4 linked regions of the Drosophila melanogaster genome follow. The protein of the gene in region 1 interacts with the protein of each later gene in a pairwise test. Each region holds a gene or a part of one and is shown on either strand. Other genes may lie near its edges. The genes, in order: MESK2, CG14424, lost and CG30159.

The links.
Region 2: the proteins of MESK2 (region 1) and CG14424 interact in a two-hybrid assay, tested with the Drosophila melanogaster proteins (one large-scale study listed by BioGRID).
Region 3: the proteins of MESK2 (region 1) and lost interact in a two-hybrid assay, tested with the Drosophila melanogaster proteins (one large-scale study listed by BioGRID).
Region 4: the proteins of MESK2 (region 1) and CG30159 interact in a two-hybrid assay, tested with the Drosophila melanogaster proteins (one large-scale study listed by BioGRID).

What each region holds. Positions count from the first base shown.
Region 1 is NT_033778.4:21,499,450-21,505,453, reverse strand, and holds the start of MESK2 (misexpression suppressor of KSR 2), read right to left. Parts: upstream 3,358-6,004; 5' UTR 2,975-3,357; intron 1-2,974. Other genes in the region: TAF1C-like (TATA box-binding protein-associated factor RNA polymerase I subunit C-like), read left to right, coding at 3,909-6,004.
Region 2 is NC_004354.4:2,924,740-2,929,486, reverse strand, and holds CG14424 (uncharacterized protein), read left to right. Parts: upstream 1-2,228; 5' UTR 2,229-2,317; coding exon 2,318-2,378; intron 2,379-2,707; coding exon 2,708-3,438; 3' UTR 3,439-3,603; downstream 3,604-4,747.
Region 3 is NT_033777.3:4,400,672-4,408,250, forward strand, and holds lost (lost), read left to right. Parts: upstream 1-2,404; 5' UTR 2,405-2,530; coding exon 2,531-2,609; intron 2,610-3,797; coding exon 3,798-3,968; intron 3,969-4,029; coding exon 4,030-4,748; intron 4,749-4,808; coding exon 4,809-4,877; intron 4,878-4,929; coding exon 4,930-5,140; intron 5,141-5,195; coding exon 5,196-5,584; 3' UTR 5,585-6,511; downstream 6,512-7,579. Other genes in the region: CG14647 (uncharacterized protein), read left to right, coding at 1-467, 683-814, 930-1,244; CG32944 (uncharacterized protein), read right to left, coding at 6,766-7,332, 7,388-7,569.
Region 4 is NT_033778.4:6,990,195-6,995,409, forward strand, and holds CG30159 (uncharacterized protein), read left to right. Parts: upstream 1-2,486; 5' UTR 2,487-2,861; exon of another isoform or gene 2,862-2,866; intron 2,867-2,926; 5' UTR 2,927-2,933; coding exon 2,934-3,653; 3' UTR 3,654-4,112; downstream 4,113-5,215. Other genes in the region: Tsp42Ea (tetraspanin 42Ea), read left to right, coding at 4,231-4,290.

The sequences.
Region 1 (6,004 bases):
CTTGATTTCAGCTGATCAAATAAAATGACCAACTTTTATGGCATAATTACTGGTTTTATCAACCATATAACTGATGAATAATCACACAAAAACAACAATGATTTGTTGCCCTAGTCTGAAAACCTAAACACAAATGACACCGCATTTAAAGTTGCCAAGTACATGGGCACTCGCAAATTCCGCGGCCATCCTTCGCCACTAAAAAAGCTGTTAGTCTAGCTCAACTTTGACCTTTTGCTGCTCGATTTATGGGCGCTGATAAAGTTGCGCTTGCACTTTTCACCTCGACCACACGAAATGGTATATGATATAATGGGCCTAGCGCCATATTTCTACATATATATGTACATATAATGTAGTAATGTATAATGTACTATAGGCTTATTGGTGGCAAGCGATTTATCAGCGGCATCTGGGCCACTTCAATTCCAATAATTGCAGCCCAGCGTGTGCCATTTATGGCGAATTATTCATAATTGCGATTGCACGTGAAGAGTGCAGAGGAGGAGCTTGAGGTGCAAGCAGCGTGGAGCCATTGAAATTAGCCATCGGCTAGAGTGGGACGGCGACAGGCGAACGACGTGCCCTGGCTTTTCCGTTTTTCCGGCCCGGAGCGAAAGGAGCGCACGGAATATCGACAATTTGGCAGGTCGCCCACGGCAACCGTTGGCAGGTCAACGGGCAACAACAAACCGAAGCTCAAGACAGCAATCTGAACTCAATCTACTGCTGAACTGTGTACTTGATTGGGATTCAATGCTACTTCGGATTTACCGACTCAGAAGACTAAATAATTACGATTTTTTTTCTTCTGAGAACAAAAGTGATTTACATAATCCTTGAGCTTTTGATTTGCTTTAAATGTATCTTTTTCTACTTAGACGTGAAAAGAGATAATTTTAAAGGAAGTCTGCTGTAGTTACATACATAATTCATTGTTAAATTATCATTTAATACGTTTAATGGCTCTTGTTTTTTGTAAGATCTTTCAGTGTTCGATTTCCTTGGAAGGTGGCTAACAACAAGTTCTCTGCTGCCCCTAAAAATACTTGCTCAACTATTGTATTGACTGCAATTTGTCCGAGTCCTTCAAGGATATCGCCTCCGATGTGGGAGGGGGTACAAATTTGCAAAACAGAAATTATTCAAATGTTCTTTGGGGGGCGGAGAGACAAGATACCCCATCGGTAGGGGGCGTGGCAGGGGTTCTGGGGCACCGACAACGGCAGCAAATCACATACAGGAAATGTCACGCTATGTCAAGCCGCAGGCCAGCAGGAAAAAAAATCGTACAGCCGAAACGAACCAAATCACACGCTCAACGTCAGAGCGTGTTGTTGCAGGATATGGGAGAATATCAGTTGGGTAGGTGGGAGGCTAGGGGCGTGGCACGGTGGGGCAATGAGGGGCGGCGCAGGTTGCCCTACTGTTACGTGTTTGCAATCGATTTGAAAGTTACATAAAAACAGAGCCGCAGCAGACCAAGGGCAGAAAAGGGAGAAGGTGCCAGGGAAGTTGGTAAACACCTGAGTGGCCAACAAGAGCGTCAACAACAACAACAACAAGAACAACAACAGGAGCAGCAACAAGGCGCCAAAAGCAATTTGTGCGGCGAACTTTTTATTGTGTTTGCCTTCTGAGTAAACTGACCTACGCATTAAACATGCAGGAAAGTTAAACATCAGATATAGATACGTATACATACATGTATGTACTGGACTCAGATACTCAGGAGGACGAGACGAAATCCTGTCCATGGCGATGGCGCCGACAGGTTACAGTAGAGCCGTTAAAGTGGAGTCCTCACCCATTCATTTCCACACCCAAAAACCGCTAGAAGCAATAAAATTTCACAAAACAGCGAATAACAAATGTCTGCAGGAACAGTAAACACTGCCAATAGGTAAACCAATTAGGGCAACTATTAGAGATAACAGTCAAGTCGCTTTTAATGAACAACCCCATTATTCCATTTCGCTTTTCCTTTGTTTAGTTAGGAAAATTGGTCGACTATTGTCTAGAAAATCAACTCGAAGTTGATTTGAGGTTTTTTTGCGAATTGCCTAGATCGTCAAATTTCTTATTTAACTTAATTGCAATTCAGAATATGGAAAAAAGGTGTAGGAATCAAGGAAACCTACTAATTTAGAATCCCAGGACAACATGCAACCGCACTTTTTTTTACTGGCATAACTTGGTTTTCAGCACACAGGCTTCACTGTGGCAGCTGCTGAAATGATTGCGGCGAAGTTTTCTGGAGGTCGTTTAGAGTGGAAAAGCGCCAGCTCCGAGAGAGGGAGAGCGATAAAGAGGAAGAGAGACGGAATGGAGCGAAGGGGAGGGCAGCAGGGGTCCATTACGTCAGAGCCAGAAGCCATTTGGGTTTTGTCAAAAATTAGCAGTTAGGAAAAGCGAGGAAAACCCAAACGAAACCAAAGCCAAACATACACAAAAAAAAAACGAATAACGAATAAAAACGAACATCATAAATGGATGAATTAGTACAGATATGGCGAGCAACAAGAACAACAACGACAAAAACGTGCATACAACAACTAACTGTTAACTAAGTAAAAAGAAGAGTGCGCAAAATATACAATAGTGCTAATTGAAAAACAGATACTGGGATGCAAATGAAAAGTTTTAGATGAGGCAGTGTGTTTTCTTTTCTTTTTAATGGGGGCGAGCGCAGAGAGAGAGAGACAGGATAAGACAGAGAGAGAGAGAGAGAGAGAGAGAGGGAAGAGTAATAGATAACTGCAACAAAACAAATGCAAGCGGAGCGAGAGGGAGGGGAGTAGGATTAGAACTGGTTAATGTTATCTTCCAGACCCGCCCCTCTCTTTCACACCTTTCCAATTGGCATTTGTTTTGTTGTCTGTTTGGCACTTGTATGTATGTTAATTGTGCCCGTTGTGTGCGGTAGTGTAGGTGTGAGTGCAGGTGTGTGCGTGGTTGGATTTAAAAAACTCACCTGACGCTTTCCGTTGCTTTTTCTTCTATTCTTTTGTAGGCCTCAAAATTGAGATAAAAACTACTACCGCTTTTTACCAACGCCTTCTTTTTGGCTAACAAAAAGAGACCGTTGTTTTAACTGCACTGTCTATGAAAAAATCAATATTCGGTCTCGACCAACTTTTTTCTTCACCTTTTCTTTTACAACTTGTGTAATTTCTGTGCTCGTTCTGTTTCATTCACTTATTCTCTCGCTCTCGCGCGCACGCACACACACACACACGCCCGCTGTTCGCGATTGCCAGTAATTTTCGGGGATCAATTTCTTGTAATTTCTCCAGCTGCTTTCAAGTCTTTAATTCTCGGTCTCGATGCAGCGCAAAGCAAATTTGATAGTGATGGGGAGAAACATCGATGCATCGGGAATCGATGTTTTCATATAGGTGCTATCGAGCTAGCCGATATTTTAGAAATAGTATCGCCGACCAGCGATACATCGTCGCTTATCAAAACATCGGATTCTTAAATATTTTTGACTTAAAAATGTAAATGTTACTTATTATTGGTGTCTAAAACCTTTACATTTCTTTAAAAAGGTATTTTACGATGCTTTTTTTTTCAATGTTACATTTTTGCACTTCCAATGTAATGTAATAGATAATCCAAAACCTATATTATTTTAATATATTGTGAATATTTTGCTTGTAATGCTCATAACAGCAAGCATGCGGTTGGGTAGACATAAATACCCATCACTAATCAGCTGTTTCTTGCGTCCAGAGGAAACGTCGTGCGTTTGGCGTTTGATTGAGTCAAATTCAATTTGTTAACTAAATTCTTTCGTGCAGAACTGGATAGCTGATCGAAGAAATCCGTAAGCCAGGCTCACATGCATCAAAACACATCGGCCAGCTAGCAAAATCCGATTTCTTATTTATACTCCAATTACAGACATGCCGCGACGCTATCAAACAGCTCTCAATTCGGCCAAATACAGTGCCCAGGTCAAGACCAAAACTAGTGACAACGAATCCGATTCCGAAGATGATCTTCCGCCGGATCAAGATGCTGAGGATAACAATGAGCCAGATAATCTGCGCAGCATTTTGGAAAATGCGCCGCACTTCTCTTATCCCGGCTTGAACACTGGAATGTTGGGCCAACTCTTGTACGATCATCAGGATAATCCGAAGCAGGACTTGCCAAATTGCTCGGTTACGGTGCCGCTACCCCTCTTCCTGGCAAAGGATGGACAAACTCCCCGAGTGGAGGCATGCGTCCAAAGGCCATTCCGCTACGACGATTGGACACGGCAATTGCAATTAGGCAAGGCTATATTTGATAGGCGACTTAAAAATATGAGACAGCGTGTACAGAAGCAGGAGCAAGGTGTACACGATGCCAGTCTGTTTGAGATGGCTGAGCACATAGCCCAACAGGAGAATTCCTTCTTCAGGGACAGCTACGATTACTACTACACAGGCGGAAACCTAAACACGATTCCGTTTGATGGAAACGATCAGCTGGCCATGCATGTCAGCGGTAATAAGCTCAGAGATTTGCACTTTTCCCGAGATTATGGTGAGGCGGAGTTTTGGCAACCATTGCATTCGGCTACGATAGAGGAATCCTCCAGCGAAGTCTTTGAACTTCTTCCGCTCCACAATTTAAATCGCAGTCAAATGTTCCTGGCACGGTTGCTGAAGGAGGTTTCCCTATACGAACTTAAATGCAAAGACGAACAGGATTCGGATTCAGATTACGAACTCATTCGCCATTGCATGTTTAGCAGTCAAGTAGCTCCTTTTACAAGCGCTGCACAATCATTGGCCAATGCCAATACATTGGCCTTAGCTAGCCAGGATAGGTCTTTGCGCTTCGTGGATATTTCGACACAACAGGATATAGCCAAGCTTGATGTTTGCTTGCTAAAAGGACTGAAGAAAACCTCGAGTACCTGGGCACAGTTAAAGCAAGCAGAGGAAAGCACCTTTCACTGCCTAACACAGCCAGTTTTGTTTACCGTAGATGTGCGATGCAATCTGCCTCTGAATCCCTGCTTTGCCAGCGGCGTTCACTCAAAAGCTTGCGAGAGGTTCTCTTGTTTGGCCAAGGGTGTGAATCCTAATCTCTTGTATGTGGCTAGTAATCACAACTTCCACTGTTTGGATATCAGATGCTTGGGTAAAAAGCTGACCGATCGAGCTGTCGTCACCTGGACGCATCAGATGACCTATCCACCCTGTTTTATTGACACAAGCGTTCACCAGGACAGTGAATATATTGCGTTAGGTGGACTCTTACCCAAAGATTTGCGAATTTGTGAACTGCAAGGAGCTCAGGCAAAAAGTGTCGATGAAATGTTCTCGCCGGCAATACCATTTGCGCCGGTAACCCTGGAAGAAGCTTTAATAGATGCTCGCTTGGGAGGATTTGTGGATGTCTATGCTGATATAGCAGAGCGGGTAACGACCTGCATTACAGGAATGCGCTTTATTGGCTTAGAGGGGGCCAGTGATCAAGCTTTTACCCAGTTGCTAACCTCCAACAGCTTGGGAGATGTTTACTGCCAAAGACTAACGCTTAGGGATGAAGAGGAGCATGTCCAGCAGATCAGAACCGGAACTCATACAACGGAAGCCATTCGCTACCTTGCCAATGCCGTTAATGAGCGCGTCCAACGCGAGAACATCCGCTGCACACAAGTCCAGTCGATACCAGAGATAAGAGACATCTTTCGAGATGGTGCCAAAAGATCAAAACCTGAAGAAAAACCTTTAATCGTAGAGGAAATCGAAATTGACTATGGCATAGAAGATACTGATGTTTCAGAAGATGAAAGCCCAGCCTCTGAAAAGGTAAAGGAAGAACCTTCGGAATCCAAGAAAGGTGGTAAGAAAACGCCTAAGAAAAAAACCAAGGTGAAACCAAAACGGCAACCCAAAAGGAAAGCTGCCAGTAAGAGAAATGTTAAAAAGCAGAAGAGCATCAGTCGCGGTCCCTGGCAGAAATCCGCTTACAAGCTGTCCCACTACACGGACATGATGTC
Region 2 (4,747 bases), on another chromosome or scaffold:
ATGGTTTAAATGACCACGCCTGATGGGTAACTTTGGTTTGACTTACTTGTTAGGAAATTTACTTACTTGACTCACTTAATTAGGAAATACTTTGCAAAATATGACATACGCTAATTTAATGAACTGTTTTAGAAAGAAAACTACATATTATTAAAACTTATTTTTTAGATTAACAATAAGTTGATAATTTCTTACGCAGGATAGACAGGATTTCTTCAAATAGCTTACAATACCATTGTCTTGTTATGCAAAAGAACCATTAGCTTAATTAATCAATCGGATTTCCTGATTGCTATCATTTTGTACACGTGCATAAATTAGTAATGAATATCAAAGAGATATAGATTGATTGCAAGTCAAGTGAATTCCCCGAATTCACTAGTAATTTCCGCTCTGCGATTTCTTTTCATCGAATGTGGATCAGTGTGCTAATTTTTGGGAATATTTCTTAGACGCGCTCCAAAAATAGAACTTTCCCTACAACAGTAACTTTCCAAAATATGTTGACCCCGCAAATGATTGGGTGAGATGTGCTGACCCCGCCATGGGGGCAACTTTCTTTGCCATATACATAGCTAGAAACCACACACTTTGCTAATGAGTATTTACGATCTTTTTATGCATTTCCATTAGCATCAAATAACTTGGCTGGGATCTCTTTTGCTCGCCCAGCTCTTCGAGCTTATGAATACATTGCGTTCTTTTTCGCATAATTTGGTTATTAAAACATTTGTTTATGTCGCCCATAATGGGCGGCAAATATGTTTTCCTTTTTTTTTCCCCCAGTCCGCCCTTGTCATTAGAAAGAACTGCCAACGGTAGCTGTGGAAAATTTAAATAATTGCCGCGGCAATAACATAAATTAGATAAACCATCGGAGAGGCTGGCAAAAAAAACATGGAGTTCGAAAAAAATACAGCACATAAATTAATCATACCACCCGTGGTCAGTGGCCCAAATTCGGAATTGAGTAGGGCTGAGGAAATCGATTGGTCTCCAATTTCAGCCACTATTGAAGGCATTCAATTAACATTTAATATCGGGAATAGCTCGATGTACCCGCTCTGTGAAAATTATTGTTCTTTACAATTGTTTTGCAAGCCGAAAATAATGGTAATATTTGAAGGAAAATGCAAAAGCAATTGCAATTTATTTTAATTCAGATAGTTGTTTCTTACGATCTTGCATTATTTTGCAGGCGGACTGTGATTTAAATTTAAAGTTCTCTATAGCAAAACTCTTTTGGCCAATACATTTACACTTTTACAGCCAATTTTTAGGCGCATTTTAAATGCTATTTTCAAAATAGCTTTAATTTTGCATAGGTCCTAAACAAAAGGAAGATTATTGATTTAAATTAGCCAACAATAGAAGAACACAAAAAAGAGAGCAGACACTCATAAATTCCATAAAACCATAATCCGTCATGCCATTATTTCGCGCAGCTTATCACTAATAGTTCGATAGATTAGCCACTTAATCTCTGGCACTAAGTTGAGCCTGCTTTCAATGCAGAGAATGGCGGAGAAAAGAATAAATTTCGCACTATGGACTCGATCCACTTGATTGATTTAAATGCTCGTTCCTCGATCCGAATGGGGAACACATGCTGGCTGGCCAAAGAATATCTTTGTATATGGCTATATGGCAGACAGGCAGGCAAATGAATGTGGCCCAAATAAGCCTCGAACTCTGACATCTGCGGGGAAGAACAGTGAGACCTCGCCCACTTCGGACATTGACAAATGGAAACGGTTTGACTTATTGAAAATCTCACTTTTGACCTCAAAATTGGCTCAAGAATTCGCCAGACGGTTTTTGTATTTTTCCGTATTTCTCCAGGCGACCCAAAATGCAAATTTCTCGATTTTGGTAAAGAGTCAAATGCAACTGGAAATGGAAATGTAGCCACCAGAAGTCAACGTTCTGCGATCTCTGGGATGTTAGGAGTTTTTGGGTTCTCTGCTTTTTGGGTTTTCTATTACTGGTTTTTGTGCATAAATCAGTCGACGGACATTTGCATAGTTTAATAATTTGCCAATCGTCCAAGTCCCCACCAATTTCGCTACATTTTACTTTGTTCTGCTGCCTGGCCACCTAATTTCTTTTGTTTTTCGTGTGATTTTTATGTGTCTACGCTGTTTTGCCTGCTTTTCGCCGGCCAGGTGAATGTTCCTTCCCTGTATAAAATGTCTTTGCCGGGCACTTGATGGACCATTTAATAGAGGCCCTCGTCCAGCGACAGACCCAAGCCCAAGTCCAAGTCCAAGTCCACATCAAATCCAAGTTCACAAGAAGATCCCATATATACATCATTATGGCAATTAAGTTGGTAGCCCTTTTGACCATCGGACTGGCAATCTTTGCCGCGTGCGAAGGTGAGTTGGTTGGTGATTTAGGAGACGAAAAATAATCTTTGATGAATTATGTTCGCTTTTCCAATATCCATCAGTATCATACATTCTCTTCGAAATCATAATTAAGTGACGGTTATTAATTAATAAATTGCTTTCATAGTTTTTGAGAAACAAGCAATTTTCATAGTTCTTTGTTAATAATGACAGACTTTTGTTGAAGTGCATTGACTTTTTTTTAATATGTGTTCCTAATATACGATGATATTAAAAGCTAAACTAGTTCGTCAGGGCGAATTTAAACCATTTCTGCCAACCCTATTTCCTAACCCCATGTCTTTGTATCCCATTAGCCCGCCATGTGAGCGGACACCATCGCAGGCAGCATTTTGAGCAGCGTGCCCTCATAGCGAAGCCCCACAGTGGTCCCCAGGGACGAGTCTTCCCCGGTGCCGTGGCCATTAAGAAGCTGGTTCTGCTTAAGTTCAAGAAGATCGTGCCCATCTCTCTGATCCTGCTGAAGTCAAGCAACGAGAACGAGGCCGAGCTGGTGCCCGTCTATCCCACCGATCAGATTCCCGAGAACGTTCAGTTCATCCCGACACCCAATGGAATTTCCGGTCACAAGGATGTCCAGGCCATCGCCATTCCTGCCGAGCTGCACGACCAGCTGCAGATCAACGGTCTGTCCAACCTGGAGAACATCGAGGCTCTGCTGCAGAGCAGCTCGATCTCGGCTGCCGACAATGAAGGCGAGGCCCCCGTGGGCAACAGCATTGCCGTAGCCCAGCCCGAGGATGTGGTACTGGAGCAGCCAGAGAACGATGAGGATCAGCTGTTAGACGGAGCCGCTCCAGTCGCCGCTCCTGTAGCCGTCGCTCCCGCCGCCCTGCGCCGCCTATCCGCCGACGAGCTGCTCCGCTCCGGCGTGCGCAACTCTGCCCAGCAGCAGCAGACCAGCGTGGAGGAGATACCCCTGCTTCTGTACTCCGCCAACGAGGGCTCCTCCTCCGCCGGAAACTCGGGACGTCGCTTTGTGGCCGCCGCTCCGGCACAGCGCCGTCGCCAGCAGTTCTACAACTAGGATCCTTTAATTTAAACAAGCAACCTATCCAAACTTCCACATTCCTTCTCTCGATGGCTGTCACACGGGCTTCACTGTACTAGGTGTACTTACACTACCACTGGCTATTCTACATTTTTTTTTTAGACTGAACTGAATATAAATTAACGTTATGAGCGAAATGACAAAAGAAGGGACTTGTGCTTCCGGGTGGCGAAGGGTCTTCAGTGGGCCCTGGGGTAAAAAGGCCACACTTGGATAAATTGGGGGTCAAAGAAGAACCTTTAAAAAGAAAAAAGTTGTCTCAATGGTAAACCAACCAATTTATTACAACAAAAAGCACTGGTTTTAAAAGGTTCAATTAATCTAAGTTTTATGTTTATAAACATTTAAATATCCACCCCTTTTTCGAGTGTCGCCAAGTAGATGGGCAGATCCTTGTTTGGGGCGCTGCTTATCAGGCGACTGCAGTTATCAGGCCTTTGTGCTCGGGCTTTGTGCCGCTGACGTGACAAGTCCTGTCTGTGTCTCGTTTCGTACTCGGCCTCGTCCTCGACTTTATCCTCATCCCCATCCTCAGTTTCAGTCTCAGTCTCAGTTTCGGTTTCGGTGTCCCGATCCCAGTCCAAATCGCAGTCCCAAAGAGTCCTCGTGTGGCAGCCTGCCAGCAATTTTGAGCCAACAAACAAAGCGGCCACAAAACACATGGCACAAATTTTGCTTAGGCGCAAAAGTCAACGGCACACGAGGCGCAAAGAAAGGCAGCCGCACAACAAAAGCGCCACAAAGATGGGACACGTTAACCTGCCATTCTAATGTGAAACCACGAATAGAGAATGTCCTTAAACATATGCCAAAAATGAACTAAATCTGCCGGAAATAGGAAACTAGAACATACTATGAACAACTATGAAATCCCATAGTTTGGTTTACAAAATTAGAAATCTAATAAGAGCGATATTCGATCCACAATTAATTTTCATATGAAACAACTGGAAATTGAGAACTTTTCACATGTAGCAGGGTATCAAAACTTTATTTCTACGGGAGTGCATTTACCTACATACACCCCGCACATCGCCCCTTTGCCCAGTCGTGTGTCTTATTTGCCGCATTTTTGACAGGATTCCCCCAAGCAACAAAGCCCCATTCCACGGAGATTATGCAAGCGCTTTCCGAATTAGCCAGGCGAAAAACAAACAAAACAAAAGGGGACCTTATGGGCCAGACATACGGTAAAAATATTGCCACATTCAGCCGGCCTTCCGCCTTCCGCTTTAAACTTTAGAAATCCACTTTTCTGCTTATATTTAAAGAAGTCAAACGTGTA
Region 3 (7,579 bases), on another chromosome or scaffold:
CCAATCGTTGGGTCAAACTGAACGTGGGTGGACAAATCTACGCCACTACCATCGACACTCTGGTGGGCAGAGAACCGGATTCAATGCTTGCTAGGATGTTCCTGCAAAATGGCAGCATGAAGCCCAGCGAGCGTGACGAGCAGGGAGCATACCTGATTGATCGAAGTCCTCGATATTTCGAGCCGATCATCAACTACCTCCGCCACGGACAATTCGTATGCGATTCGAACATCAGTGTGTTGGGTGTTTTGGAGGAGGCGCGGTTCTTCGGAATCTTTTCGCTTGTCACCCATTTGGAGGAACGCCTGGGACAGCAGGAGACGCCGCTGGGGGACAGACCATTGACGCGCAACGACGTCATCAAGGCCATCATTCAGACCTCCGTGATAACGGAGCTGCGCTTTCAAGGCGTTAATCTGTCTGGGGCCGATCTACGAAAGCTAGATTTTCGCAACATTAACTTCAAGGTGTGCGCAAACGAATTTCATTTCAATGCATACATTGTGTAATACAACATTTTAAGTCTTTCCAACGCCGTAACACGACTGCATTTTAATATTATTGTAGTTTGCTACGCAGTAAAGGAGATATTTTCGTCCGGAAAAAAATGGAAAATTATTGGTGGAGATCTATCAAGTTGAAGACAATAATTATACTAAAGACTATCCCTTTTCCTTCACAGTATGCCAACATGTCTCACTGCAATTTGTCCCACACCAATCTTAACTACTGCTGTCTTGAACGGGCGGATCTTCAGTACGCAAACTTGGAATGTGCCCAACTAGTGTCAGTGCGGGGACTTTGCGCCAATATGGTAAGCACAGGTTTAACAGAAAACGCTATTAAATAATCACATCATTTGTGAAACTAGTTGTAACAGATTTACGCCATCCAATTAGCTAAGAAAACTAATCTGCCTAATCTTTCAGGAAGGTGCAAACTTGCGTGGGTGTAATTTTGAAGACCCAACAGGAGTTCGAACTAATCTAGAGGGTGTTAACCTCAAAGGAGCATGTTTGGAAAGCAGCAACATGGCCGGTGTTAACTTACGTGTGGCAAATTTGAAGAACGCCAATATGAAGAACTGTAATTTGCGAGCTGCGGTGTTAGCAGGTGCCGACTTGGAAAAATGCAATCTTTCTGGCAGCGACTTGCAGGAGGCAAATTTGCGTGGGGCAAATTTAAAGGACGCGGAGCTTACCCTAATGGTGACCCCATTGCACATGTCACAGGCCATACGATGATATCTTGGTTGGCACCTATCACTAATATTACTGTTATTGACTGTACATACTTAAAAGTTTAATAGTAGGTTATAAAATAAACAGTATTAGGATTGAATTTCTAAAGTCGTGTGTATTATTCTTATTCCTTACTCGTAGAGTAAAAAAGTATACTAGATTCGTACTAGAAAAGTATGTAACAGGCAGATAGCAGCGTTTCCGACTATATAAGGGATATATATTATATATAATCCGGATCAATAGCCGAGTCTATCCGTCTGTCCGTATAAACGTCGTGATCTCAGGAACTATAAAATCTAGAGGTTGGGATTAAGCATACAGATTTTAGAGACGCGGCTCACGTTTGTTGACCCATGCTGCCATGCCCATTCTAATGCCCACAAACCGCACAAAACTGTGACGCCCACACTTTTAAAAAATGTGTTGATATTGTTTCATAATTTAATTAGTCTTGAAATTTTCTATCGATTTGCCAAGAAACTTTTTACCACACCCATTCTAACGCCCTAAAAACGCATTCCCACTGGCTGAGTAACGGGTATCTGATAGTCGGGGAACTTGACTATAGCGTTCCCTCTTGTTTTTTTTAATGAAATTTCGCGTTCGCATTCACACTAGCTGAGTAACGGGTATCTGATAGTCGGGGATTTCGACTATAGCATTCCATCTTGTTTTTTTTGTTTATTACATAGTCTTAGTCGCATCACTAAAGATTCTTTTATATTTTTATATAAAACATTCCTTAGGGACCTTGCAGAAGAGTTACATTTAGAAAATCCTAAGCCGGGGCAGGAGCCTGTGTTAATTATAGTTTATCCTTCGATTCCTTTATCTACAAGAAACATAAATAAAGAAAATAATATAAAATTTATCTATTTTTAGTTTTTAATACCTTATTCGCAGTGATCACAGCTTACAATTTTACCGAACTATCTGGGTGGTACTCGATGTTTATTAAAATAATATATAACAATTGAAGCGAAAAAAGATGATGGACTTGCATGTAGATCTAATGTATATTGTCGGTGGCGTGTATAAGCTCAGATGTATAACTTTTATTATATTTTTAGCTAGAACCATCGCAAGCAACTCTATACGAAATGTATCGATGTATCGCATCGGCGATGTTTTTTTACGTCACCAGAGAAACGTCAATTTTCAAACGTGGTTTGTTGGAAGCCAGCGGAGAACGGTAGACGTTGCTTGTGAACTGTGAACTGTGTAGCCGTAGCCTGAGCCGGTAAAAAATTGTGAGCAGAACTAAAACACAATTGGCGAGCGATTCGATGGAGGACCAAAGCAACGCAGCCCCCGCTGTCGCCGCGGAGAACGGCGGAAACACCGCGCAGGAGGTGTCTTCGACAAGTAAGTGGCCTGCCCTACTACCCCGCCCGCTCGCCGACGAAAATTGCGTGTAATTCTCGCGAGTGCTGGTGATTCCATAAATGTTTTGCGCCGCGCCGCGCCTTGCTCGCTGGGCATCCAAAGTGAATACCCATGTTCCAGAGGGGCAGGTGCCCGATTCAGCCATTTTCTAGGTGCCAGTGTAGAAGCGGAAGATTGTCGAATTCCGCCATATTTATTTCTAGGAGACCCTAGCTGTAAATAAGAGTTGCCGAAACGCCGAAGTTGCTTGTTGTTGACACTAATTACGTCATCTTTGCGCGCATTCTTCCCACAATTACAAAAAGTGAAATGAATCATTTTCGGTGCTCTTGGCCGATTTCGATTTCGAGATTCTGTGCTCGCAGTGTCAATTCACCCGCTCGCTTGCGCCCCGCGCTGCCCGACACCACTACACGCTCGCGGCACTGCTCATACGAATACATATTAATTGAGAAATTCGCGAGTCGATGCGCTCATCGCCCAGAAATGTGTGCGTGCGAGTGTGTGCGTGTCGAAGCGTTGCCAACTTATTGGTCATGCGTTAATATCGGGATATGGGTTCTTAATTTGTATTTCTCATTGAACCCGCCAAGAAAGACGGCCGAAATAGTTTTAGCGGCCAATTCATACTTCAGTTTCAATTCAACAAGCGCACACACATGCATGTTGACGTGTGTTCTTTAACCAGCACAGGTGGCAACCCTGCCGTCCCGATTTTGCATGCAGATTTTTGTTTTCAATGATACGGGCCGGCGTTTGCTGGTGTATGTTTGGGTCACTTTCACATCTGATTACTGGGCGTGGAAACCGGTATATCAGCCGCGGTATCACTTTTAGTCCAGCGCCAACTAGCGTGATAACACGCGTTCATTACAGACGATAAGGGCAGCGGCTGTGTTGCTATTCAGCACATTTGATTCGCACTTTTACAGTCAACCTCCCCTAACAAAAACTAACATGTCCGAGAAGTTGGGGAATCGCTTGGGTCCGCACGTTATCATACCTACAGATCAGCTCTGGAATGGAATGTGGCTTGATTTAATGAAGGCTAGCTATCACTAACACAAATACAAATGAGCTCACCGCTGCAATAAACTAAAATATGTTTCTTTTAGTCATCTGTTTATGTTATTGGAGCATATTATTGTAACAAACATGTCGTTACAGCTCAGCCCATAGAGCCCACAAAGCGCTCGCTGCGCGTGCAGACCTGGAAAAAGATCCAAGAGGGCAAGGTTGGCATTGGATTCAACAACATATTTAACCGAATTCCTTCGTTCGTGGGTGCCGATAAGGCTGCTGCCTTGTTTGCCAATGAAGAGGAGTTCAAGAAAGCACGTAAGGGAGTACCACAGCCCCGTTTTCAGTGCACCAATTATCACTCTTTCCCGTATTGCAGAGCACATCAAGGTGAACATCGATCGCGTCTTGCATGAGTTTAAGGAACTGGCATTGCTGGCCGACAAGTCCGTATACTTGCCCAGCACCCGCGAATCTTCTGCACTGTGCCTAAAGGTAGATGTGCTGGCCGATGCCACCGAGGAGCAGAAAAAGGAGGCTCTGCGCGTTCAAGATATTCAAAAGTTTCGCTCGGAAATTGGATTGGACAGCGGTCTGAAGCTGGACATCGTGGTTATTGGCTCTGTTGTAGTGTCACGCGAGGGTTACCGCATTGGACGCGGAAATGGTTTCGCTGATCTGGACATCGGCCTCCTTATTGAACTGGGAGCCATTACACCGAAGACAATTATTGTCACAATCGTGCACGACATGCAGGTGGTGGACTCACTGCCCCCGAATCTATTCCAGAAGTACGATACGCCAGTTGATATCATTGCAACACCCACAGAAATAATCAGGGTGCCAAAGCGCTTGTCTTTCCCCAATGGCGTTTACTGGGAGCTGCTGTCCGAGCGCCGTCTAAAAATATTGCCCGTGCTGCAGCAGCTTAAGGAAAGGGAGGAGAAGGCGGGAAAATCCATATCCCTCAAGGAGGAAGACACCGATGTGGAGCAACATCAAAACAACAGACGCCGCCGTGGGCCTGTGCGCCGGCGCATCCAACGAGGAAACCCAGGTCGCACCACTTCGCAGACTGACAACGAACAGCCGCAGGGCGTAAGTCGAATCCACCACACTGTCGGCACTATTGAGTAACTTTTAACTCTGCATTTTTAGGAGACTGCTCAGAAACGCACTCCGCGGCGCAAAGGTCGTTTCGTCAATCGCCGCAGACGTACAACTAAGGTAAGTAGCTTAAATATGACAGCCGAAGCCAGCCTAATCAACGTAATTTTAGTCTGAGGGCGATCAGTCTGGTGTGGAAGCAGGTGCTAAAACTGATGATCGTAAGTTACCAGAGGCTGGCACTGATGAGCGTCGTTCAAAGAAGAACAAGAACAGTGATTTTTGCATTAAGTTGACAAATCTGTCTCGTGATATTCGCGTCAAGGACTTAAAGTCGGAGCTCCGCAAACGCGAATGCACTCCGATGTCAATTTCTTGGAAGGGTATGTCACTTATATTTGGTTTAAAAGCTCTACGCTAACTATACCTTCTCTTTAGGACACTTCGGAAAGTGTTTCCTGCACTTTGGAAACCGCAAGGGGGTTCCCAGTACCCAGGACGACATGGACAAGGTGTTGAAGTCTCTCAACGATCTCTCGCTCACCATTACCACTGGTGGCGAGACAGCCCCAGCTGCCGCCGCAGGGGAGGGCGGTGAGAAAGCAGAGTCAGCTGAGACTGCAACGCCTGTGCAGACCAAGACTATTCTCGTCAACGTAGAACTGATCCAATTTGGCGAGAAGAAAAGTGCTAGCTCCACTGGTGCCAATGCCGGTGCAGGCGAGGATGGAAAAGCAGACGCGCAAAACGGAGGGGAGGCCGTAACTGTGGCAGGAGGCGACGTGGGTGGTGCACGCATCGAAGCTGTCGACACCACCACAGTATAGTATGACTTTGCGCTTGGCGCAGCCAATGAACGGTCGCGGCGGACTTCCGCCGACAGCGCAATGTTTGGAGTTCAACGAAAAAAAGTAACATTTTGTTTAGAAAAAATCGGGAAATACCAAACAAAAAACAAATAGAAAGCGAACTCCGAACAAACACAAAGTACACTCAAAATACACACTCACTAAATACACGCTGGCAATTACACTTGTGCATACACTGAATATCATGTTTTGCAGCTTGTAGTTTCTTCTTCTCCGTCATTATTCTAACCAACAAGAAAATCAAACGCAACTCTTTCTAACGAGAACACAAATCATTGACGCTTTTTCTAAACAATTGCATTTGTTTTTTGCCTAAGAAAATTAAAACGATTGCAGAAATACTCGTTCCACAAATGCAAAGTGGAACACCATTTCTTCTAAATAATCCTTTTACTAACTTCTTGTGACTTGTTACAATTCTGAATTAGAACTTCTGAATATTTGTTAATTTGATTTCACACCTCAGCAATAAGATCGTTTTGCTGTATCTCTGTTAAGCAGTTGAGCTGCTAGTAATAGGGCTTGAAGTTGAGTGCGTTGAAGTTGAAGTAATGTTCTAAAATGTAATACTAATAGGAATGCCCTATAAATGAGAAATACCGCGAGTAAGAAAAAATGAATTAACAAAATATTTACATGTTGCATTTGGTTAGTCTTTTCCAACTTTCACCGCAAACATCAATAAATTTAATAATATTTTTAACAGAAGAACAAGAAATGTGTGAAAGCAAGAATTATACAATGCAGAACATAATTATACAAGGCAGAACATAATTATTTACCCTTTTTTTATACACAAAAGGCATTACAAAAAAAAAATATGAAACATGAATGAAATATAACTTGAAATAAAAATTAAAAAAATCGTAAAAATAAACTTGACCGAAAATTACCCGTTTATTTTGCTTTTAGACTTAAATCTAATATGTACAAAGGTAGCTTAGACCTATTTTATTTAAAAGTTATAAAATGTCATAGTTCTGTATATAATATGCGCATGTACACAAAATGAAGTTTACAGGAGTTCGAAAAATAGGTTCTGGTCTTTATGGATGGATGGCTGACAAGTCATCGTTGCGCAAGTGGGTCTGGTTCTTGTGCAGTTTGAAACCTGTTGCTTATCAACCGCGTCCTAGGTTTTATTTTTGAAACGGACTCTGCGGCATGTCAAGTCTGCTGCCAGCCGATTCTTTAATCTGCGGTGAAGGAGTGCGATCAATGAACTCAATACTCTCGCCCTTTAACTGGGCGACTGCGGATGATGCGGTCGCACAGTCGCCGTCGTGCACAACGCAGGCGGCGGGTTTCTCTTGGATGGGGGCCAAGCTGTTCACGATGGAGTTGGCCATGGCCAGTTCCAGTTCGCGCTGCCAGTCGTTTTCCTTTTGTTCCATGGCTTTGCGCTTCAACTCCTTGTAGCGGTTGTAAACGATGAACTCTTTGACCAGTGCAGTCTCTGGATCGCTGTCGCGTTGTGCTGACCTCTGCTTGGCCAGGCGCTTCTTCTTTTTATGCAAGGGCCGCGATTCTACAATCATTTCCTCCAGTTCTAGGCAAGGATCACAGTTGAGGTGGTCTTCGGGAGGTTTATAGATGGGTTTGATCTTCTTCTCGAGCACCCTCTGGAAGTCAATGTTGCGCAACATGGGCGTTTGATGCAGCTCCTGCCTTGTACTGATCCTAGCACCCGGATAGGTGGAAAGTAACTACAATAGTCATAAAGTGTGTGTTAGTGTGTTAAAACAGTGCGATCCAACCCACCCTCTGCAGCAGATCGACGAAGTTGCTGCTCCAGTAGCGCGGATAGTGCACGGGGGTGTTCAATATATTCTTGATCTCCGCTAGTGGGGTGTTCGAGTGCACAACGAAGGGTCGGATGTTTCCCCGCATTTCGTAGGCGACGACTCCAAGTGACCACCAGTCCACCGGATAGCTATAGCCAGCTGAAATTAT
Region 4 (5,215 bases), about 15 Mb from region 1:
TCGGCAAAGAATAGGTTCACCCAAAAATGGAATAGATGCAATGCCGTGGCCAGCACCACCTTACGATTTAAACCCGATTGAAAACCTGTGGGGGGAAATTAAACAAAATGTGTCGAAGAACTCCCCGACGTCTAAGGCTTAGATTTGGAAAGTTGTGCAGGATGTATGGGCAAAAATTCCCCCAAATGATGCCAGGACCTGGTGGACTCCATGCTGCGTGGGTGTAAGGCTGTGCTGGCTAACAAAGGCTATCCAGCCAAGTATTAGGCCCGAATTAACGTATTAAAAAGAAAAACTAAGTTAGTTCTAGGTCAAGTTGAATTTTGTTACTGTTTTTTTCAATATTTACATTGAAAACCAGAGTTTCTACCTATTTTGTTGTTTTAATCTATATTTTCGAAACTATTGAAGAAATAAAAGTGAAACATTTGTTAAATTGTTTAAAATTAAATACCTAATGATATTATAAAAAAAAAAAATCCCATTAAAACTGTAAATCCTAGGAATTTTTGATCTTAAACTCTCAGGTCCAAAGCACTGCTATTTTTATGAACACAGCTGTATATATAGAAAATATTTGCTAAAGTAACTACTACTCTTGCGATTTATGAAAACGGATTCATTCAACCACTTTTATGACGAATTTCATTGTATTAATATCTCAATACTGTAGGTCTGAGAAAAATGATACATTCTGTTTGGTCAGCTGCAAGTTGAGTATACTGACAGAAAAAAATATTTCAATAATGTGCGAAAGGAATTTTGACTGAAAACGCTGAGAATGATCTTTTGTTTGAGTGAGATTGATTTCACAGTAGTTTTACTTTCTGTGTACATGCTAATTTGATACCCCGCACCCATGGGAAGCAGCTTGAGGTTTTTCCGCGGCATTAGTGCATTTTCGAAATTGCTCGAGTGTGACGCATGCAGATCTCAATCTCGACCACGGGCTTTTCGTCGCCAGCGAGTGTCCCTCCCCTTGGAAGGCAATCTCACTTATGTCATTCATTTGACGCTAATTCGACATTTACAGAAAGTATTTGCTCGAGGAAGATAACCAGAAGTGCAAGCAAATGATTCATAATTGATTCTATTTTGACAATAATTGGGAAGACAGCACTGTAGGAAAAAGGGGGCAATATGATCATATTCCAAATAATATGAATATTGATCATTTTAATTTCAAATTGTGTATATTCTTAGTAATCATATTGTATGTATGGCTTTTCCATTTGGGAAAATCCGTATGAGTTATATTTTATTCCTAAGAATTCGTGTTGCATTCAAAATTGCTGAAACAGAAATAGCTGCAAAAAATCTTGATTTGTTCGTGCCAATTGTTACATTGCTTTAATATTTTAATCTTTAGTAAATGTGGGCAATCCATCGAGATGATCTTCAGCGCTTGTATCTATTAGATACACTTAATTTTCCATCTTTAGGGGCAATGACTCATCCCAGTACGAGTTTCATTTAGATAGTGCGATTTCGATCAATGGAGATACGAAATTCTATTTCTCTTTGTGTGCCGAGCGTTGTGGAAATACATTTAAATACGGAACAACGTGAGGTTAATTGTGCGGAGCACACTTGTTAATTAGGGAATGTCAGCGGGCGCGACAGTTGGCGCTCCCCTCACCCCTTCCCAACCCACCGAAATCCGAAAATAATGCTTCCAAGCCACGTTTTCATTGGATTACGTAAGCTGTAAACCAGTTTATGATGTTGTTGTTGTTACTGTTGTTGCCAGTGTGTGTCAAGGAAAAGCTAAACACAATTACAACGCCCTTCTGTCTGGTAATTAAAAACGGAAGCCATGCCCGAAGCCATAGTAGGCTGGCTAACGAGACCTGCACATCGGCCCAAACTGGTTGGCTTTGGCTTTAGGCCACTTTCGAGGAAAATCCGCCCACGACGAGCCGAAAACCGCAAAACACGTCCGCCAGTGGAAATCGCATCGAAAGTTTTGCGGTTTCGAGCCATTTTTCCATTAACTCGAAATTCTAGAAGATCAATTCAAATCAATGTTCATGTGAGATTTTCCTTATGAATACCTGTATTTTTATATACCGAGATACGTATGTACAAACAATCTTATCCTACAATTTCCTGTTTTTGAGGCAGCTTTATCTTATAAAAACTGTTCGAAACAAAATTATAATTTCCATATACATATCTTCAACGTGAGGTTTTTGCTCCCTTTTTTCTGTTCTTAATTTTCCTATTGGCCAGGCAATAGTGCATTTGCATAAATAAAACATTTATTGGTAGTAAAAGTTAAACAAATATGTACGTAATTCCCGAAACATTTCAAATTTGCATAAATAAACAAACGCGATTGGTAACAGAGAGCGGAAAAACAAGTTACAGTAATTACCGTTGGGAGGGGGTGACGAAACAAACCAAAACAAAACGAATTATGCTCGTGTGAGTGTGCGCGACGCAACAGGTTGAGGCTGCTTGGCGCAGCTTTTGACCGATCAGTTTAGTTCAGTTAGCATTGTCAACTGCTCACGAACGGTTCGAAAAGCGGAGCGCGCGTAAAATCATTCTGTAAATCATTCAAAAGGCGGAAAACTCAAGGTGTGTGTGTGGGTTTTGTTTTCAAATTCCGTGTGCTTGTGTGTGTGAGAGAGGGCGAGAGCGACAGTGTCGTAGCAGGCAGTGTTGTAAGGTGCCGAAACAGCGATCCCAACCGGCACACTAGTTGTCCTGCTCGCACTCCAGTGAGGCAAATGTCAAAGTCTGGTCAGTAGCAAAACAGAATTGCAGCCAAGAAAAGCGGAATCAGCGACAAAATTAGCCATTAGTTGGGTTTTACATATAGATTAGGCCAGCGAAACGACATAACGCTCCAAGTGGTAAAGTGAGACCTGCCAGTGGCGGCACCCAACCCGAAAAAGCCTAACCAGCGACCACTTTCCAGTTATCCAATGGAGGCGGCCAAGGATTTTGCGGTGGCCAAGTACCAGGACTTATGTAACTTCCTGGAGCGGGATACGCGCGGCAGTGAGCTGGCCATCTATGGCACCTCGGCCATCATGCTGGCCGTGGCCTATGCCAAACGGAAGCCGGCCTACCTGGTGCGCCAGTTTAAGCAGCCCTCGCACATCCCGGAGCGCCTGATCAACGAGCGCGTCATGCACACGGGCAAGATCGCCGGGGTCAAGCAGCAGGAGCAGGACACCCTGCTGATGATCCAGCACCGGCCGCTTTTCCCGATCTTCACTAGCAGCAAACGCCTGCTGCCCGTCAAACTGCCGGGCGTGCGCGTCAATGCCAACGGCTACTCCTGGCTGCAGCAGTGTCTCATTGGGCGCGAGGCCACCTTTCTGCCCCTTAAATCCGCCAAGGGACAGGACTTTGTTGTCTGCCAGCTGTGCCTGGTCCATCCGCCGAGGGGCAACCGCCTGCTGGACGTCTCGGAGACCCTGCTCAAGCTCCGCTTCGCCCGATTCGTGCAGGATGCCGCCGCCGCGGTTAAGAAGAACGGGAAGTACTACCAGCATCTGAAGAAGGTGGAGCAGACCACAGCGGAAAAGGAGGCCTGGCTCTCCTGGGCCGCCGGCTATCCCTACATCTGGCGCCGCTACAACGAACTGAGGCAGCGCTGGTTGCCCAAGGAGAAGCTGCTGCCGGAGCTAGTGCGCTGATTGCGATCTCCCCGTTCCTGCCTCGATGCTATTTACAGGGCTACCTAGCTCGCCACCATTAACTTAGTTCCATGGCCAGCTACTCTCTATATTTTTATTATGCCTGTTTACTAGCTTGTGCATTTGTGTCTTAGTGTTGCTTGCTATCTATTGTTATACGATTGGCAAATATCATATACGATATAAGACAGCATTTGTTTACAAACCCTCGAGCACAAGTACACAAGTCAGTCTCAAAAGCTTATTAGTAAGGGGAATAGCTAGCGCGACTTGCCCAACGCGACTTTCGATGCCCAGGCGGTACGTGATCGTGTGCTAATTTCCACACCCAGTAGAGCCAAGAACGTCAGCATTTTTTAAATATTCAAATAAGCGAAATGTTTTTACCACGGATGACATCAGTGCGTGTGCCTGTGTGTGTACGTGTGCGTGTTTCCCAAATAAAATGCCGAAATACCTAACTTTTCACGCTTGTATCTGAATTTCTTAATTCCATTCCATTTTTTTCGTCTCCCGAACGATCAGTTGCAGTTCTTCATCCATCTCCACCAGCAATCTCTGGCAAAACTCAGGCAAAATGAGCTGCGGAATCTCCATGGTTAAATATATCCTATTTATATTTAATTTGCTCTGTTCGGTGAGTAGCATAGATACATTTAAGATTACATAATTTCGAGCGGCCAAGCTTAGATCGACTTCTCAGCCTTTTAGGCTGGCAGTGAGATCATAACTTTCGTGCGGAATAAACTGGTTTTCCCAAAATTGGTGTTTTCAGTATTGAAAGGCTGAGAAAGTCGAGGCCCACAAAAGTGGTGAGCATGAGTACATTTTAAAGCCACAGAAGGCACTCTCGTTAAATGCATTTTTGTATTTTTGTGTTCTTTAGGTCGGCTTTCATATTTACATATCATGAAATTAAACATATCTCAATTAATGTTTATTAAGGACCCTTAAAGTAGGATCTATTATAGCATTTATGGTGTCTCTTTTCCGGTCAGCACTATCACTTTCCGGTTACGAAACGCACTGTACGTGCAAAGTGGGGGCAGAGCTTGAGATCATCATCAGTATTCCAAAACCAGTTATTAAAATTGGGCTACGTTTGTGACGTAGCGGTATCCGAAAAATTCTGTATAATTTTGTGTACACTACGTACACTTTTGTTTACTTTGGAGTCCCAAAACCAGTTTGTGTTGTTTCGGTCCCCACAACCGAGCCCCACATCCACAAACATGCATCCCATTAGTCGGAGTCAGTCCGAGGTTAACTGGTTCCAAATGGCAACCAAACAATCATTGAAACGCCAGCAACGGTGGCATTTCGATATGGTTTTGCAACTTCTAACTCACTGCCCCAAAGTCACTGCACCGCCAGGTGGAACTGTACTTCGTCCAACCAGTTTGGGGCTGGGACCCTGACTTGCTGCTGGTGGGAAATCTGACTGCGTCGGAGTACCAGCGCATTATTCGCGTCACGCAAACATGGATGTCATTCACTACGGGCGGAAAAACATCAGCACACGGCGCTAATTCTTCAATCGTATGCAGTATACGGATATAGAA